Linked DNA regions of Lepisosteus oculatus. The protein of the gene in region 2 purifies or fractionates together with the protein of the main gene of each other region. This does not show direct contact. Links are inferred from orthologs where the notes say so. Each region holds a gene or a part of one and is shown on either strand. Other genes may lie near its edges.

Evidence for each region.
Region 1: the proteins of mapk8ip1a (region 2) and map2k7 purify together in Homo sapiens (affinity purification with western blotting; 3 studies listed by BioGRID and IntAct, with this or other methods). This does not show direct contact. The link is inferred for Lepisosteus oculatus from reciprocal best matches to the Homo sapiens genes MAPK8IP1 and MAP2K7.

Annotation. Positions count from the first base shown.
Region 1 is NC_090706.1:13,861,175-13,870,509, forward strand, and holds the start of map2k7 (dual specificity mitogen-activated protein kinase kinase 7), read right to left. Parts: upstream 4,036-9,335; 5' UTR 4,009-4,035; coding exon 3,819-4,008; intron 320-3,818; coding exon 272-319; intron 1-271. Other genes in the region: pkn1a (serine/threonine-protein kinase N1), read right to left, coding at 7,106-7,309, 7,818-7,898, 8,227-8,334, 8,482-8,624, 8,717-8,793, 8,915-8,977. UniProt on the Homo sapiens protein: Dual specificity protein kinase which acts as an essential component of the MAP kinase signal transduction pathway. Essential component of the stress-activated protein kinase/c-Jun N-terminal kinase (SAP/JNK) signaling pathway.
Region 2 is NC_090716.1:6,358,882-6,368,540, reverse strand, and holds the start of mapk8ip1a (C-Jun-amino-terminal kinase-interacting protein 1a), read right to left. Parts: upstream 3,816-9,659; 5' UTR 3,777-3,815; coding exon 3,532-3,776; intron 1-3,531. UniProt on the Homo sapiens protein: The JNK-interacting protein (JIP) group of scaffold proteins selectively mediates JNK signaling by aggregating specific components of the MAPK cascade to form a functional JNK signaling module. Required for JNK activation in response to excitotoxic stress.

The DNA.
Region 1 (9,335 bases), on a different chromosome or scaffold from region 2:
GACAGGCTGGACAGAGAGAGAGGGAGAGGGAGGGACAGGCTGGACAGAGAGAGAGGGAGAGGGAGGGACAGGCTGGACGGAGAGAGAGGGAGGGACAGGCTGGACGGAGAGGGAGAGGGAGGGAGAGGGAGAGACAGGCTGGACGGAGAGAGAGAGAGAGGGAGAGACAGGCTGGACGGAGAGAGAGATAGAGGGAGACAGGCTGGACGGAGAGAGAGAGGGAGGGTATAGGGCTGCAGTGGCCGGAGTGAGGGATGTATTGAAATGGTACCTGCGCGCTGGGAGGGGGCTGGAGCGGGACTGAGCTGGATCACGATGACTGGACAGGGAGAGGAGAGAGAAGACACACACATTACTGTACACACTGCTGCACAACTGTATATACTGCCGCACACATTGCTGTGCACACTGCTGCACAACTGTACACATATTACTGTGCACACTGCTAAAACCAGCTGTACATAATGTCCACTCTGCTATAACCAGCTGGACACACTGTCCACTTCCACACACACTGTCCACTCTGCTATAACCAGCTGTTCACACTGTCCACTCCCACACACACTGTGCACACAGCTACAGTGCAGTCCCTAAGTATTTGGACAGTGACCCAATTTTGGTTGTTTTGGCTCTGTACTCCAGCACATTGGATTTGAAATGAAACAATGACTATGAGGTTAAAGTGCAGAATGTCAGCCTTAATTCAAGGGTGTTTACGTCTATATTGGGTGAACCATATAGGAATCACAGCCCTTTTTATACATAGTCCTCCCATTTCAAGGGATCAAAAGTAATTAGACAAGTGGCTGCTCAGTTTCTGTGTGTTGTTGCATCGTTAGTTCATGCACAAAAGGTCTCGAGTTGATTCTAGACGTGGCATTTGCATCCGGAGTCTGTTGCTGTGGTCTCTCAACATGAGGACCACAGAAGTGTCAATGCCAGTAAAAACAGGCCATCATGAGGCTGAAACGTCAGAATAAACCAATCAGAGACGTAGCCAAAACATTAGGTGTGTCAAAATCAACTGTCTGGTACATTGTTAGGAAGCAAGAACGCACTGGTGAGCTTAGCAACAGCAAACGACCTGGTAGACCACGGAAGACCACAGTAGTGGATGACAGAAAAATACTGTCAATCGTGAAGAAAAACCCCTTTTCGACTGCTGAACAGATCGAGAACACTCTCCAGGATCTACCACTGTGGAACATGGTGGAGGTAGTGTCTTGGCTTGGGCATGTATGGCTGCCAGTAGAACTGGCAGTCACATCACCAATAAAGACAAGTGAGCCAACAGCAGCAGCAGGATGAATTCTGAAGTGTACAGAAGCATCTTATCTGCTCAAATCCAACCAAATGGCACAAAACTCATTGGACGGCACTTCACCTTGCAGCAGGACAGCGACCCCAAACATACTGCCAAAGCAACTATGGGGCTTTTCAGGGTCAAGAAGTGGAACGTTGTTGACTGGCCAAGTCAATGACCCAACCTGAATCCCACTGAGCATGCATTTCACTTACTGAAGACAAGACTGAAGGCAAAAAGCCCCCGAAACAAGCAGGAACTGAAAATGGCTGCATTACAGGCCTGGCAGAGCATCACCAGGGAAGTTACCCAGCTTCTGGTGATGTCTACGGATGGCAGACTTCAGGCAATCATCAACTGCAAAGGACTTGCCACAAAGTACTAAACATGACCATTTTATTTAAGATTATGTTAATGTGTCAAATTACATTTAAACCCCTTGAAATGGGAGGACTATGTATAAAAAGGGCTGTGATTCCTATATGGTTCACCCAATATAGACGTAAATACCCTCGAATTAAAGCTGACATTCTGCACTTTAACCTCATAGTCATTGTTTCATTTCAAATCCAATGTGCTGGAGTACAGAGCCAAAACAACCAAAATTGTCCAAATACTTAGAGACTGCACTGCTATAACCAGCTGTACACACTGTCCACTCCCACCCTCACTGTCCACTGTGCTATAACCAGCTGTACTCACTGTCCACTCCCACCCTCACTGTCCACTGTGCTATAACCAGCTGTCCTCACTGCTATAACCAGCTGTACAAAGTCCACTTCTATACACACTGTCCAGTGCTTTAACCAGCCGTACACTATCCAATTCTGTACACGCTGTCCACTCTGCTATAACCAGCCATACCAACTGTCCACTCTGCTATAACCAGTTATACACACTGTCCACTCTGCTATAACCAGCCGTATACACTGTCCACTTCCACACACTGTCCAGTCTGCTATAACCAGCCGTATACACTGTCCACTTCCACACACTGTCCACTCTGCTATAACCAGCCGTATACACTGTCCACTTCCACACACTGTCCACTCTGCTATAACCAGCTGTATACACTGTCCACTTCCACACACTGTCCACTCTGCTATAACCAGTCGTATACACTGTCCACTTCCACACACTGTCCACTCTGCTATAACCAGCCGTACACTGTCCACTTCCACACACTGTCCAGTCTGCTATAACCAGCTGTATACACTGTCCACTTCCACACACTGTCCAGTCTGCTATAACCAGCTATACACACTGTCCAGCCGTATACACTGTCCACTTCCACACACTGTCCAGTCTGCTATAACCAGCCGTATACACTGTCCACTTCCACACACTGTCCAGTCTGCTATAACCAGCCGTATACACTGTCCACTTCCACACACTGTCCACTCTGCTATAACCAGCTGTGCATAATGTACACTGCTACACACAGTTATAATGAAATATACACACTGTATATCCACAGACAGCTATGCACACTGCAAACCACAGCATACAAAGTTGTAATCGCCGTGTGCACCGCTTTGCATCACTTGCACACAAACAGCTACTCTCGCAGTGACCCCACGAGTAAATGCTGTTTCTACAATCAACAAACCCAGCAGGCGGGATAGAAGAAACAACTCCTTCGGTGTGTTCATCTATAATTATGGTGTCAGTGTTTTAGCTCCAGTGTCTACTGTCCTACTGTGTGTTTCTCACTGAAGGATTCTGTTACTTCCTTGGTCTCCTGTCCTATTGCACATGTAGAACTGAGGGATCCTGTCCTGTCTCCTGTCTCTCCCTGTCCTGCTCTGTGCATATCAGTAAACTATGCCACTGTCAGACAGACAACCACGTTTAACGTGCCGAATGACTACTTTCTATTTCAGATGACCGACAAACGCAAGCCAATCCAAACACACGGGTTTACAATCCCGGCACTCTTCTGCGGAGTGAAGACAGCTCCTCCACCTACAGACCTTCTCAAACACGCCTGCGAGACAGGAGCTGACACCCGTACGGATGTTTTCACACGTCTTGCTGAGCTTTGTGCTCAAGTCCAAGACAGAAGCTGCAACGTAACTTAACCCGTCACAAGGTCGCGCCACGGCGGTCCCGTCACGGCTGCGGTGTTTACAGGAGGCGACAGGGCCGCCCTGCCGCTTCCTTGGTCACATTTTAAACCACTAAGCACGAAAATGAAATGAAACTGAAAAACAAAAAACAAGAAACCGGACAGCGGCGCCGGAAAGCGACGGGACTGGACGACCAGGCAGAGCCGCGGCCTGCAGGTCCGAGTCCAGACCCGCAAACCGGAGAGGAACTTCACTCGTGTCCGCTTCAGGTCCCGAATACCGGACCCGTCCGGCACCCGGGGTCCGGCGGGCGCTGCGGTTTGTGTAGAAATGTCTACAGATTTTCGATCTCCCCTCCTCCTCGTTCCCCTCCCTCTCCCCGTCCCTGTCCCAAATTCCTGCCGACCCCCACCACCGCTCCCGGCTCTACCGGCTCCAAGACTCACTGGGTCGGGGTCGGGCACGCTGCGGGCTCATATCGATGTTGAGGTCGATGCGCCTTCGCGCTTCTTTATTCTCCTGTTTTAGTTTCTCCTCGATTCGGGAGAGTCTCTGCTCCAACGACGACATTTTGGAAAAACTGAGAGGTACCACCGAGTGCGCACAATCTCTCCACAGACTCTCCCTAAGTGGCATGCTGGGATAGTGGATGACTACACTACCAACTATCCGGTGCCATAGATATCCAGACAGTGTAGCATTTACGAACCGACAGAGACAACCCTCATAATAATGATGACAATAAATACAATGATACTGACATTATGAGAGGAATGCACTCTACCATTGTGGAGACAAACACTGTATTTGGACTTTTTGTAATTGTTTAAAATAAGAGTAATATGCCGTGTTAGAGCGCCTCACGTGGTCCTGGAGGACTGACAAATCAACATATTTTGTAGAATTTTATTTTCAGAGTATAATCATAGAACACATTGTATCTCTAATCATTATCATTAGTGCTGTTGTATCATGGGTGAATTTTTTTCAGAATTATGGGGAAAGATGTCACTCCACAGAGGCTGTGGACAGTATGTGTGAGAGGAGAGATACAGACAGGAGACTGTGGACAGTATGTGTGAGAGGAGAGAGAATACAGACTAGAGACTGTGGAACCAGCCTTCTGTGAATACTGCACAAATCCTGCATGAACCCTTTATGAATTGTGTAAGTCCCATGTGAATCCCCTGTGAACCCTGAGTAATCCTGCCTGAATCTCCTGTGAACCCTGAGTAAATCCTGTGTGAACCCTCTGTAAATACTGTGAACCCTCTGTAATTCCCGTGTAACTACATGAACCCTGTGTAAATACTGTGAACCCTCTGTAATTCCCGTGTAAATACTACATGAACCCTGTGTAAATACTGTGAACCCCGTGTAATTTCTGTGTAAATACAACATGAACCCTCTCTGAACCCTGCATATATCTAGCTTGAAACCTGGTAAATCCTGCAATCCCCTTGTGTATCTTGTGTAAATGCTTTGTAAAGCCTGTGTGAATCCTGCGTAAATCCTGTATGTGCTCTTTGTGAACCCTGCATAAATTCTTTGCACCTTACGTAACTCCGGCCTGAATCCTCTGTGAACCCTGCATGAATCCAGCCTGAATCCTCTGTGAACCCTGCATGAATCCAGCCTGAATCCTCTGTGAACCCCTCCATAAATCCGGCCTGAATCCTCTGTGAACCCTGCATGAATCCGGCCTGAATCCCCTGTGAACCCTGCATGAATCCGGCCTGAATCCTCTGTGAAACCTGAGTAAATCCTGCAGGAACCTTCTGTAAAAACTCCACATGAACTGCACAGCTGGCCAAGGTTAAATGAAACCAGTCCAGGAAACAGGAGACTTCCTATTGGAAGGGTTTCAATAAGATCCCATTATTGGGGGACAATTTGGTACAATGCTGATTTTGGGGTGACATGGATCTTTGGGTCACCTGAGAGAGATTCCTGAGACTGCTTGCTGTATGTTTTCCCAGTGACACTAAACACACTTGTGTTAGAAAAGCCCTTTATAAAAAAGATACATTAAACAGGAAAATTAAGAGTAAAAATAAAAATTTAATCATTCAGTCCTTCACTACTTCCACAATGTTTTTTTTCTGCATAATGTACTCGGTATAATTTACACAACTTTGTTAATATCATCATTAATATTATTTTAAATCCTGAAACTAAAATTTCACTTACTGTAAAATAATAACAGAACTTTTCAAACCTTCACAAGCTCCACAAGAACCAGGTCTGGAGTGACCACTCCTTCTCCACATGATCCGGACCTTCAGAATCGGGTCTGGAGTGACCACTTCTACTCCACATGAACCGGACCCTCAGAATCGGGTCTGGAGTGACCACTCCTTCTCCATATGATCCGGACCTTCAGAATCGGGTCTGGAGTGACCACTCCTTCTCCATATGATCCGGACCTTCAGAATCGGGTCTGGAGTGACCACTCCTTCTCCACATGAACCGGACCTTCAGAATCGGGTCTGGAGTGACCACTCCTTCTCCATATGATCCGGACCTTCAGAATCGGGTCTGGAGTGACCACTCCTTCTCCACGCGAACCGGACCTTCAAAATCGGGTCTGGAGTGACCACTTCTACTCCACGCGAACCGGACCTTCAAAATCGGGTCTGGAGTGACCACTTCTACTCCACGCGAACCGGACCTTCAGAATCGGGTCTGGAGTGACCACTCCTTCTCCACATGAACCGGACCTTCAGAATCGGGTCTGGAGTGACCACTCCTTCTCCACATGATCCGGACCTTCAGAATCGGGTCTGGAGTGACCACTCCTTCTCCACATGATCCGGACCTTCAGAATCGGGTCTGGAGTGACCACTTCTACTCCACATGATCCGGACCTTCAGAATCGGGTCTGGAGTGACCACTTCTACTCCACATGAACCGGACCTTCAGAATCGGGTCTGGAGTGACCACTCCTTCTCCACATGAACCGGACCTTCAGAATCGGGTCTGGAGTGACCACTCCTTCTCCACATGAACCGGACCTTCAGAATCGGGTCTGGAGTGACCACTCCCGATCCCGGCTGGTTGTGTCTCCTTCATGTCCTGCTCATCCGCTCTGCTCGATCCCCCCCCTGTTCACACACACACACGTACTAAAAGCATTTTAAAAATATAATTGGAGCGACTCGTTCCTCCAGCGCTGCAGGCTTCAGTCTGCAAACCTCTCGCTCTACTCATGCCAGCCCCGCAAGACAGCTCTCGAAACGTTAAGGCTTCGGTCGGTGCTACAGCCCCACCCCTCACCACCTCTATCACAGTATAACCGGAAGTCTCTTGCTCCTCCTCCTCTCTCTCGGTGTTTAGGCGGAAAAGGCACACTGCCTGCCCACCACCCTACCACACCTTGTGCTGCTCAGTCCCCTCCTCCCTCCTTCACTGAGGACCCATGCCACACGAGCTGCCGCACCGGGGCTGGGTCTCTGCTCGAACCCCGTCACCTCTCCCTCTCCCCTTCTCTGCAGCTCGGCCTGCGCGCGGGAATATGTCATTCCCGAGAGTCCGCTGACCTAATCCACATCCTCTTGTCCGGAGAGGGAGAGGGACGAAGGCAGCGCGCAGGGAAGCAGAGGAGGGAGCGCTCTGGGAACAGTCCAGGGTCCAGGTGTCCAGGGGCAGACACACTGCCCAAAGTCTCCCTCGGTCGCAGCGCCGAGACGGACAGGCAGGCAGACAGCGCCCCCTCTGTCCAGGCGCAGCAGGGCTAGCAGAGGTCGGAGACGTAGTCAAAGTCCTTGAAGCTCTCCTGCTCCTTGCGGGAGAGCGGGCGGGGCTCTCGGGGTGGGGTCAGGGTGGGCGCCTCTGTCGTGAACTCCTCGTCGAAGTTGCTGACGTCCTCCTTCCCCACGATGGAAGGCACGAAGGGCGGCTTCACCTGCCGCTGGAGCAGCGCCTCCCAGTCCACCCCCTGGGAGAGAGAGACAGGTTAGACACAGCACCTCCCAGTCCACCCCCTGGGAGAGAGAGACAGGTTAGACACAGCACCTCCCAGTCCATCCTCGGAGAGAGAGAGACAGGTTAGACACAGCACCTCCCAGTCCATCCTCTGAGAGAGAGAGACAGGTTAGACACAGCACCTCCCAGTCCACCCCCTGAGAGAGAGAGACAGGTTACTCAGCACCTCCCAGTCCACCCCCTGAGAGAGGAGACAGGTTACTCAGAATCTCCCAGTCCACCCCCTGAAAGAGCGAGAGACTGGTTAGACACAGCACCTCCCAATCTACCCCCTGGGAGATGGATGGAGCCAGGACGAGATAAGGAATAAAGATCAGAGAGGGAAGAGAGCAGAGAGATCCAGACAGTGGACACACAAACCCGGAGATAGAGAGAGGTTAGACACCAGAGGGCAGAATGAGGGAGAGCTTACAGACAGCGAACAAGGATGATGAGAGAGAGCTAGACAGTGAGACGCTTACCCTGAAGAAGGGCTGCTTCTTCACATCATCGGCATCCCTCTCAGTGGAGCCCAGTCTGCGCTCTGGGTTCCTCCGCAGGAGCTGCACACAGACAGTGCCCACAGTGCATCAGTGGGACGACACAATAATCATGAGTGGACCACGGCCAACCCCCACAGGCCAAGAGGAGGTCCAGCTGTGTGGCTCAAGCCCATAACAGAAACAGCTGGATAAGATCCCGGGACAAATCCCTGGCAAGCAAACTCAGTGTGCTGAACAGCGTCTTCTCATCTCTGACCTTTTGTTAAGTTCTTCTAATGGGTTCTCATTTAATAAGAGACACGACAGCAGGAGCTGGTGTGTGATTTGCCTTTTCTAGGTGGCTGACGGCACAAGGCCGGCCTGTGATTGGCCGAGGGGAGAACCTCACCCGTCTCATGATGCCAATGGCCTCGGTGGAGAGGAATCGTGGGTAACGGACTTCATCATTAACGATGCTGTCGAACACCTCCTCCTCATCGTCACCTGGGAAAGGAGACTGAAACACAGGCAGCGTGTCGGTACGGTTGTAATTCCACAGGCTCCGACAGTTCCACGCAGTACGTTAATAACGCGGAAAACGACAAAAAGAGAGAGGAGCACAGGGACTCGAATGCCGTGACGACAGAAACAAACGGCCCCTCACCTCGCCCACCAGCATCTCGTACACCAGCACCCCCAGCCCCCACCAGTCCACCGCCCGCGTGTACGACGTGTCAGTCAGCACTTCGGGGGCCAGGAACTCCGGGGTCCCGCAGAACGTACTGGTCCGGTCGCCGTAGCCCATCCCTGACGCAGAGAGGGGACAGCAGTGAGGGACAAGCCAGCTGACGGGACACACTGGCCGTCGGACCGAGCGACACGGCCAGGCGCGCACACACCTTCTTTACACAGGCCGAAGTCCGCAATCTTCACATAGCCCTCCGTGTCCAAGAGCAAGTTGTCCAACTTCAGGTCCCTGAGGAGGAGAGGAAGACACCGTGAGGGACAGCGGTGACAGAGGGAGAGGAGGAGGAGAGGAAGGCTGACAGCAGTCTGGTGACATGAATGAGAAACAGGGAGGGAATCTTGGTACTCACCGGTACACAATCTTGTGATCGTGCAGAAACTGCAGCCCCAGAACCACACAGGCCGCATAAAACCTGCAGACAAAGAAGAGAGCCCAGTGAGAGACACCCACACAACGCAGATGCAGACCAAGAGACACCCATACAACCCAGACACACTCACACAACCCAGACACAGACCCAGAGACACCCACACGACCCAGACACAGACCCAGAGACACCCACACAACACAGACACAGACCCAGAGACACCCACAGAACCCAGACATAGACCCAGAGAAACACACACACTCACACAACCCAGATACAGACCCAGAGAAACACCCACACAACACAGACATAGACACAGAGACACTCACACACCCACACAACACAGACACAGACCCAGAGACACCCACACAACACAGACACAGGGACAGAGACACCCACACAA
Region 2 (9,659 bases):
GGGTAGTAATAAATATAACAAGTGTCCAATACAAAAAGAAGATGAAAAAGAATCTGCAACTACTTTGAATGGATTCCACTTTTATAACATACTGTAAATGGCCTGCATTTGTCCCCAAGCCAAACAGAGTTTAAGGTCTTTGAGAATAAAAAATGCATACCCGGTGTGCTGTGTGTGTGATCCACTAGGTACCTTAATTAGTCTTCTTATCTTATTCAATTTTGTTTTTCTCATGAAAAACAACATCTTTGCTTCAGAACACAAATACTGCCTTGGACATTAAATCAGCTCTAAATTAGGAAAACTAAATGTGAAATAAGGTTGTACATCATGGGCAATTTCCCTTAATTACAAACTCAAAACACCAAATCCGGAGTGCTGTTTACTGTGCATTTGTAATCAAAGGACTTGAAATTAGGGAAACTGAGGTCAGGATACTTGATCAAGATGTAATATGAGTTTTATGTCACAATATTACATGCATGAATAAGTCAGTAAAAAATCAATAAACACTGGGAATTATCATCATAGATTTTTGTATGATATACTGTACTGTATGATTTGCCAAAGACAAAACTGTAGTATATTTAACATAATTCTGATATTTATTTAGCTCATATTATAGCTTATATTCATAACTCTTATATTGAATAACAGGACTAGCTTTTAGCAAAGTATAGTATTCCATGGATATCAGGATAACATTATAGTATTTATAATTTATAACTGTTAACATTCAATTGTTATTTAATTAGAGGTAATTTGGATAATGCTGTGGCAATCACAACTATACTATGTGAGCTCTACTAAACATCTCCATTTGTATTTATATTGACTTATTTCTGCATCACTTTTATTATAATCACTAAAAATGACTGGCTGCCTGATAACAGAGAGATAGGTATGAGCATGCAGTATGTATGCACTGACCATTCAGATGACACTTGATTTGTTTCCCAAATTTCACAATCTTTCCCCTCTTCTACTTTCTCCTTCGTTATTATTAATTTATTTGGCTGATGGTTTGATCCAAATTGAACTGCATTTGCACATATTTATACAGCTGGGTATGGTGCAACTGGAGCAATTTGGTTGAAGTACTACCTTGCTCAAGAGTGCAACAGCAGAGCCTCAGCTGGGATTGGAACCCACAACCTTCCAGTTACAAGTCTAGAACCTAACCTCCTGTTGCCCCTGATGAAATTAAATCATTTTCAATAGCATGAAAACCAAAGGAAAGGTCCTGCTAAAAATGATTTGTTTATCTAATTCCAACATTACTGACATTTTAGATTACATTTCTGAAAAGAACTAAAAGATGCATGAAGAGCATACTGAATCAACTAAGCAGGTACTTTCAGTATGCAGGCAGTCAGATTTAATTTGCTGCAAATTACAGAATTCTATTATTATCATTATTCAGTCATTAATGCATTCATTTGTTGATGGAAGGCAATCTGTACACCGGAAAAGTCACATAAGGGCCATTGAGCCTTCAGCAGAAGATAGCATTAAAAATATCACACTAGTTTTTTAAACGACTGCAATAACATGTTGTGAAACTAACCCTTGCAAATGACTGTAAATAAAAAATAAGTCAACAGATGTCTTTCTGTTGGGAACCAGCCAACATGTGAAGTGCTGGGGATTTTTAAAGGTTATCCCAGAAATACAGGAAAGCTAAACGTAACAAAAAAAGGGATTTACAGATTATTATTTTATGGAATTTACTGAATAATGTAGGCAATGACAGTCCCTGTAGTGCATCCTGACTTAGTTCTGTGACAGATTACGTCTCTTGAAAGTTAAACACATACTGTACATAAATAAAGCAAGTGTGGACATTCCTTTACAGTGTGTTAATATTTTTGACAGGTTGAAAACTCAGTACATAAATACTGAGTTTTCAGTATTGTGCACAGTATAACAATACATTTGTCATGTACTTTAGTCACCGTAATAATCACAACAGTCTGTGCAATGATTGTTTACTTGTTAATGTCAGCATCTTATTCTTGGTATGCAATTGCAATGGGACAGCATCCCACACTGCAAGAAAATATTGGCTGGTGCACATTTTTATCCACTTCAATCAGATGCAAAGATACTTGTCAGGAGCAGTTTCTGACGTTCAGCACAAATACTTTCCTAATTTGTTGAGTTTTGAAACCCCACTAGATATGAATATGTCACTGTAACATATTTTTGTACAGCAAGATCTCATCATTTTTTCTCTGTATACTCTGTGGCAGCAGCAGCCGAACCACTGCACATACCCCACACACTGTGCATGACAGATCTCATCACTGCATTTTCTTGTTTCCCCTTTAAAAGAGATGTACACATCCTGCACCCTGATAAAAATGGTGAAACATGTTACCCTTAGAGACCATAAAGGCTTCTGATCTATAACGTTTATGCTGATGGAAAAGTGAAATGTTTGCTGTGATTTTTTAACCACAATGCTATGAAACAGAAACATGTTTCCAAGGTTGTTTTCTTTCTGCAGATAACAGATTCAATCAAAGCATCCTTAAGTTCTTGAAGCAAAATTATGCACAAGTGCAAAGGCTGTAGTAATGTACTGGATTTAGGAGGTTTGAATGCCATAAAATGGACAACAGATTCAAAGTTCTAATAGCGACCTCTCTCCGAGCTTAAGTATTTAGCAGAATAATGCATGTTCGGATTTACTCTTATTTGCTTAATATCTTGAATAAATACAATGCATATTTCTCGATTATAAGGTCAGGTAATTATAAAGTTACTACCAAACTAGTAACAAACCATTCACGCTCTGTATCGACTTTTCACACACAAGCACTATGACTGTTGCTGTCAACCAGTTGCACACATACCTGAAAAGCTGTGTGATGCCTCTATTTAGATAAATAGGTACAGTAGATACGTAATATATTTATAGTATGTTAAATCTATATTTTACATTTCTAGTGAAGAGTAAATAATGGTGATATTTAGATTTCACGAGTAGTCTTTTCGCCTAATATTCTCATCAATTCCAAATGATCAATGAGTTCATTCGTGTTCGAGATTTGATGCAAAATAATAAGCCCAAACCAAAAACAGTAACAAAATAACGTGCAGCGCTTTCCAACTTCTAACAGCAACAAACAGAGCTTTGATATCTGTTTTGTTTCCTCCGCGCAGTGTCGTCAAGATCACGGGAGTTTTCAATCTGTTCACCTGAATAAAAATGGACTACGCCCTTTAATTTACATGAGAAAGACTCGTGTTTGTAAACAGCAACTATTTGTGTGCGTCCGCCAGCCTTGCCCCGGTTCTCTGTATCGATTCAATTTACATAACGGGATGCACGGAAAAAAACAATGCACTTTCCGTCTCGGAAGCAACCACTACTACAGTATATTCATGAGCATCCCCTTTCTGCAGTAACAATCTATCTGCTATAGCCTGTCACTGTTTTCAATCCGTCACCAGCTTCGTTATCCGAAAAGCCCTTAGGCTCGATAGGGGTTTGCGGTACCCTTTGATTATCCTGAGCTCTATTACCTGAAATTAGGCGAGGAGGTGATGTGCAAACCCAAGAAAGGGGATCCAGTTGGAGACGGGTTTCTTTTTTCTCTATCCGCCATTCTCTGCCCTATTATTATATATCCATTCGTTCGCTCCTGGAGAAAGTAGTAGCCCAGTAGCAGGGATGCTGCGATGGAAATCCAGTTAAGGAGGAGAGGCGAGAGAAACAACACACACACACAGAGAGAGAGAGATTGGGAGGCGAGGCGCCAGCTTCTCATTCCAGGTCCCCAGAAACAGGCGGAGCGGACCTGTGTACGTTGATATTAACCGGAAAAACAAGGAGAATCGTCTTTGTCGTCATCGTCTCAGAAAACAAATCAACTTAAAATGCAAAATCCGTCGTTAATTCAATGGAGTGCACAGCAGGGCAAGTTAAACTTCTGAAAAATATTAAATAATACTTTAGTTACTTGAAATGGTGTCAGAATTGGATGTTGTCAACCAAAAAGTGGTTACAGTATATACATTTTTTCTTGTTGCAATGAATATTGCTATTGTAGCAGCCAAGTCAAAAAAAAAATACAATGCCGAGGTCATTCGGAACAGTTACCACGTGTTTAAGTGGTTCAATGTAAGTGCCTTTAAGGACTCTGAATACACTAGGTCTCTTTGAAGCCTTTTCTGTTCAAACCTAGTTAAGGTTTAGGGGTATCTGCATGCAACACCCTCAATTTAACATCATATGTCAGGTGTTTTCCTAGTCTGCAATTTTTATCTAAAGCTTTTTGAATTTTATTTGCGACTCCTATTTTGGTATAACCTGCAAACGTGACTAGTTTATTAAATACCCAGAATCAGAGCAGTGGTTCTAGTATAGATCCCTGTGGTACTCTATTAATTAGTGTGCCCAAATCTTAGCATTTGCCTCTTATCTGTATCCTGTTTTTTATTATTGTCAATCCAAATATGCACATTTTCCACATATGTATATCCTATATCCTGAATGTGATAAGAAATAATATTAAGAACGTTGTCCTTCCACCACCTGGCATTCTATTGACTTCTTCCTTGGTGATCACCTGAGTGAAATACTGTTCATAAAACACGTTACAAATGAGGGGAGTTCACTTGACCCATCCAGCCCACTTGGCAACAGCACTTAGTAATAGTGCATCAGCCATCTTTTAAGGCTCTTCTGCTGTTTCAATGCTAGAACAACTTTCTAGTTTTATTTTACTTAAGCCTCTACTGGAATATCCCAAATATCCTGTTTTACTTTTCATTAATTGGACCCTGTTGTTATTTTAATCATTTCATAAACTTCTTTCTTATCCTTTATCCTATACAGAGTTTGTAGTGTATTACCTATTAATGGTTTCTATCTCTTAATATTCATGCTGTCTCACTCCACTAATAAGTGAGCTCAAGTCAACTGGGTGCAGTTACTGCAGATTAATTTGATATTTCATTTCAAGTTACCCACATTGATTGGCCTATTTACCCCTGCACTGTGCTTTGTAACCAGGGAAACAGCCCATTCATATCTCCGAGCTTGTCCATAACGCCCCTCCTGGTGTGACTGGTGAGTTGTGATCCCTGAATCTATTCATAACATGATTGCAGCAGGCCTGAATGAATGCACCAATGCACTAATACACCCTTTATGTTGTATTTCATGGTTTACAAATCAATTATCATGTGATACTGTATGAGTAATGACTGTTCAATAAATTGAATTATATATCAGAAAGATCATTTTCTTTAAAGAACAAGGTACATTAAACAAATGCTGTGGTATACTGTACAATAGTACCTGCTGGGCTTTAGAAACACACAACAGCCTGAAACACAAGAAAGATACGTCAGTCTGGTCCGACAAAAGTCATTCCGCTGACATGCCAGATATCAGCAGATATAGCATGTGTTTTAATAACCTTTCCTTTTAAGCGAAAAAGGAAAAGAGTGAATGCAAACCAGCTCAGCATGTAAAATGTATTTTCATTAAAACAAGCATTTTCACTAAGCAATAGCTTAGGTGAAAGGTACATTTGAAAAAAAAAGTATTTGTTCTCCTACAGGTATTAAGCAAATTCAAGACAAGATTTGTTCCGCCAACCTACAAAATTCTTTAAAAAAGTCATCATCATCCAGGTGGTCCAACAACAACCAGGTGCAGAAAAAGAATGACAACATTTCTTTGCACAGCAAAACGGAGGCCATCATTTTAATAATTTGTTTGATGTGAAATGTACTGAACATAAGTCATTCTAAACTTATAAATTGCGGGAAATAACCTGTATCTCAGAAGAGTTTCACATGAGATGAATGTACAGATGCTATAAAAGCTGCTGATCTGATGTTTTCTCAGCACTGAATACAGTATATACCTATGGAATGCCTTATTTTTAGAATCTGTTTTCTCCACTGACAGAAGTGTGGTGGCATGGCCGTTACAGTAGGACTGCTGCATGACAGCACTCTCAACTAGAGAAGCACTTGGTTCCAATGTTCAGTTCTTGCCTGAGGCTCTTTCGATGTGGAGTTTTGTTTTAGAATCCAATGAAGAGAAAGTGGGTCCCATCCTATATGTATTGTACATTGGGATCACTGGCATAATAACTGCTACAGTATATACAGCAACAGCAAGGAATTATTTTATGGATTCCTTCTAACAGTTTAAGCCATGTCCTTCCCAAATACTACATTTTTGCTGAGGCACTTTAGATAATTACAGCCAATTGAATTTTAGATGATGAATAATCCAGGTAGCTTTCAATTTGCAGGATAACTGTAGTCAACATGAAAGGACGGACATTTTTGCATAAATTTAAGCAGCGTTAATGAGATATAGAGGAATTAGTAACCTAATTTCAGGATAAATTCTAATGGAATTTTTAAAATATTAATTTAAAATGCCCAGATGAATTTGTCCTTATTTCTCCCGCAGACCTGCAAGTTGGGAAACTCATGCAATCTGTTTTAATGTCAGCCTTTCCCTAAAAAACATATTTTTGGAAAATAACAGAAGAAAAGAGCTGTATGGTGTATGCTGCAAAGTGCCCAGTTTTATATTTACTCTGCTTATCACATAAAATTAGAGACAGCATTTTTTCTATTGAATGCTATTTATGATAACAATCTAAACAATCAAGTCAGGCTAAAAATCGGTTATAAAGGGTATCAATATTTTTTGATACTTCATTGCAAAGCTGATTTTCACAGATCTCACTGCTGTTTTCAGTTGCTGACAGAAGACAATTGTAGAATATTGCTGTATTTATTCATGCTTCTAAGTGAGAAGATGATACTAATGCATAGTAACAGATGTCAATGGACTTATCCTGTTCTTGTCCAGACTGTTTACACTGTTGCTCATCAAAGGCATGGCAAGGTACAGAACGATATTGGACTGATAGTGATTCAATTCAAGGCAGAACAATTTATAAAGAATAGAGTCACAAGGGAGTCATATACCTAAAGGTTTTAGGTCTGTTCAAGTCCAGTGGTAGCAGTGGATACCCCCATGTTGTTGTTTTTTACAAAACTTCTAATACACCATAAGAGCACATCAATAACATCTAGGATGCAATTTAATCTTCCCCATGATTTTCACAGATACCACTCCTCTCAGTCCCTTTGTGGATTATTAATTGGCTTGACTTTCGGCACCTTGCAGAAGGAAGGGTAATTTCCCCGAGCCCTCTTCTAAATGTTTTAGAATCGGTGCATAATGCAGTAAAGTGCTCTCTTTTCAAGTGAGCGGAGCAGCTCCTGAGGCCATGTACGGAACAGCGGCTCACCGGTGCTTACACACAGATCCTCCCATAAACGTTTCAGCTGCTTTAGTCCACCAGAGCAACATTCTGCGTGAACAGCAGATCCCGGAGCAATTAATTGGAGCCATGGACACCTTATTAAAATACACAGTACAAGAGAAAATAACACCTGAAGAAGGCTCTACAGCTGAAACGATTCTTTTCTTCTCTTTTCAACATGGAATAAGCCTGCACTTGTTCCTTTGCAGCCTATGCCTGCTGATGCAGCTCCCTACTTGAGCTACAAGAGAAAATAAGTTGACTTTCCAATAACTGAAACAAAAACCTGAGTTTTGTAAACTGTCCAAGGGAATTATATGGATAAAGAAAATTGCTGGGGGTAATTGGTTCTATAACGAATCAATAAGAAGCAGAGCAAAAACAAACCCTTCTGTAATACGCTACAATACCACTCCTACTGAAATAGTTCCATGTACTGTAGCTGCAGACAAAATCTAAAGTGCTAGGTGTCATTTCTTTTTCTCACACATGCCTTATTCAATTTTAAGAGCAAATGTGTACGTGATGCCTTTTTGTTTAGCTTGTGCAAATGAAACTGGAGATCATAATTGGCAGGACCTGGTCCAAGAAAGCTAATTTACTGTCTTTTCATAAGAAAGACTAAAATACTGCCATTTAGCCATTATAAGATAAGATAAAGACATCACACTCTGATATAATTGTTTTTAAAAATCATTTTTTGATTAAGCTGTTGCATAACTTTATTATGAAAAGGAGACCTCTAGTGAGAAACACTACACATTACAGGCAAAAAGGTATTGACTGTACATTTCTGTTGAAAGCCCTGTAGGAACTGCACCCATGGATCAATCACAATTTTGGAAACTAATCTAAGCTTTCCAATTCAAATCTGTAATCAAGCTTTGTTAAACACACCCCAAATAAAACTACACACAGTAAAACAGCAAAAGTTGCTTATGTAATGCAACTAGAACTCAACTACAGTATCTTACTATTATAAAATGACAATGCCCCATTTGACTTGCACAAACATGTTGTTTATCTAAACTTTTATTTTACTTTCTATTTAACCACATCATACAAGGAGCATGTAAGAAAACTGAGATATTGTATATCTTATCTCTTGTATTCTTTAATCATATTATATTTGTTAAAGAACATATTGTATATACATCAGTATACAGGAATACCGGGTCATAGAAGGCCAAACTGACAGACACTTGGCCTCATGAACAAAACACTGATCAAATACGATACAGTATGTACCTCACAAACTTTCCTCATCCACCTTATGCTAAGTCTGAGCTGTATAAGATACAGACAGGAATCAGTTGCTGATTACTCATAGAAGCTGCTTTTATTTTAGGAATAAAAGTATTTTACACTTTACAAACTCTCTTAAAACAAACAAAAATGAGATTTATGATACAAACATTTCACAATTTAGAAAACGAAGAATGAACAAACAAAATCTGAAAGCCACACATTAACATTTGACAAAAAGCTTTTTCTTTGCTATTTGTTGAAAACAAGCTAAAACAGGTGATCGGCAGAAAGCAATTTAACGCAAGAGATCTGAATTCATTATGATCATTATGGCTTAAGGTTAGTTGTAATTTAAACTCTACGGAGAAATAAAGCTTCAGTTTTTCAAAGTACCTGACAGGAAACCAAAGTTTGGAGAATAGCAGTTTCTTTTAAAAGGAACATTAATATGTGTTAAGACATACAAAACCAAACACTGGTTATTCTCTTCCCCATTGCAGACAAACCTCTGACCCACTGTCCCATCATGTCAAGTTCAACATTGCTTTCCCTAAAGCAGTGGTTCTCAAACTGTCACAGTCTTTTAAGGGGAAATTGGGAACAATTTCTCCCAACAGTGCCACATTCGCCTACAGAACAATTGATCGAAAATTAATACCTCAATTATACATTGGCCTCCGACACTAGCTCGGCTGCTGAACCTGACACAGACAGCACTGCTAGTGTTATCAGGCATCGGAAAATGGCTGCAAGCCGGTATGATCCAAATTATCTAAGTGCTCAGTGCAACTCGTATTATATGTGTGTGAGTATGTGTGTACGGGCTCATGTTAGTCATTGAGATTTTCTGTGGTTCCTATGAGAAGATGACTTGTAGTTGGTGCTTAGATGCTTTGGTTTGATCGGGGGTGGTACTTGGTCCAAAAAGTTTGAGAACCACTGCCCTAAAGTAATCAAGATCACAGATTCAGAGTAGGTCTATTCCAGAAGTCTTCTGGCATAATTAAAGGGTTTCTTAATACTTTTTTAGAGCCCCAGAACTCATCCATGTGCTACATTTTCAAAGCTGCCACATAAATCTACAAAACATCTGATGGA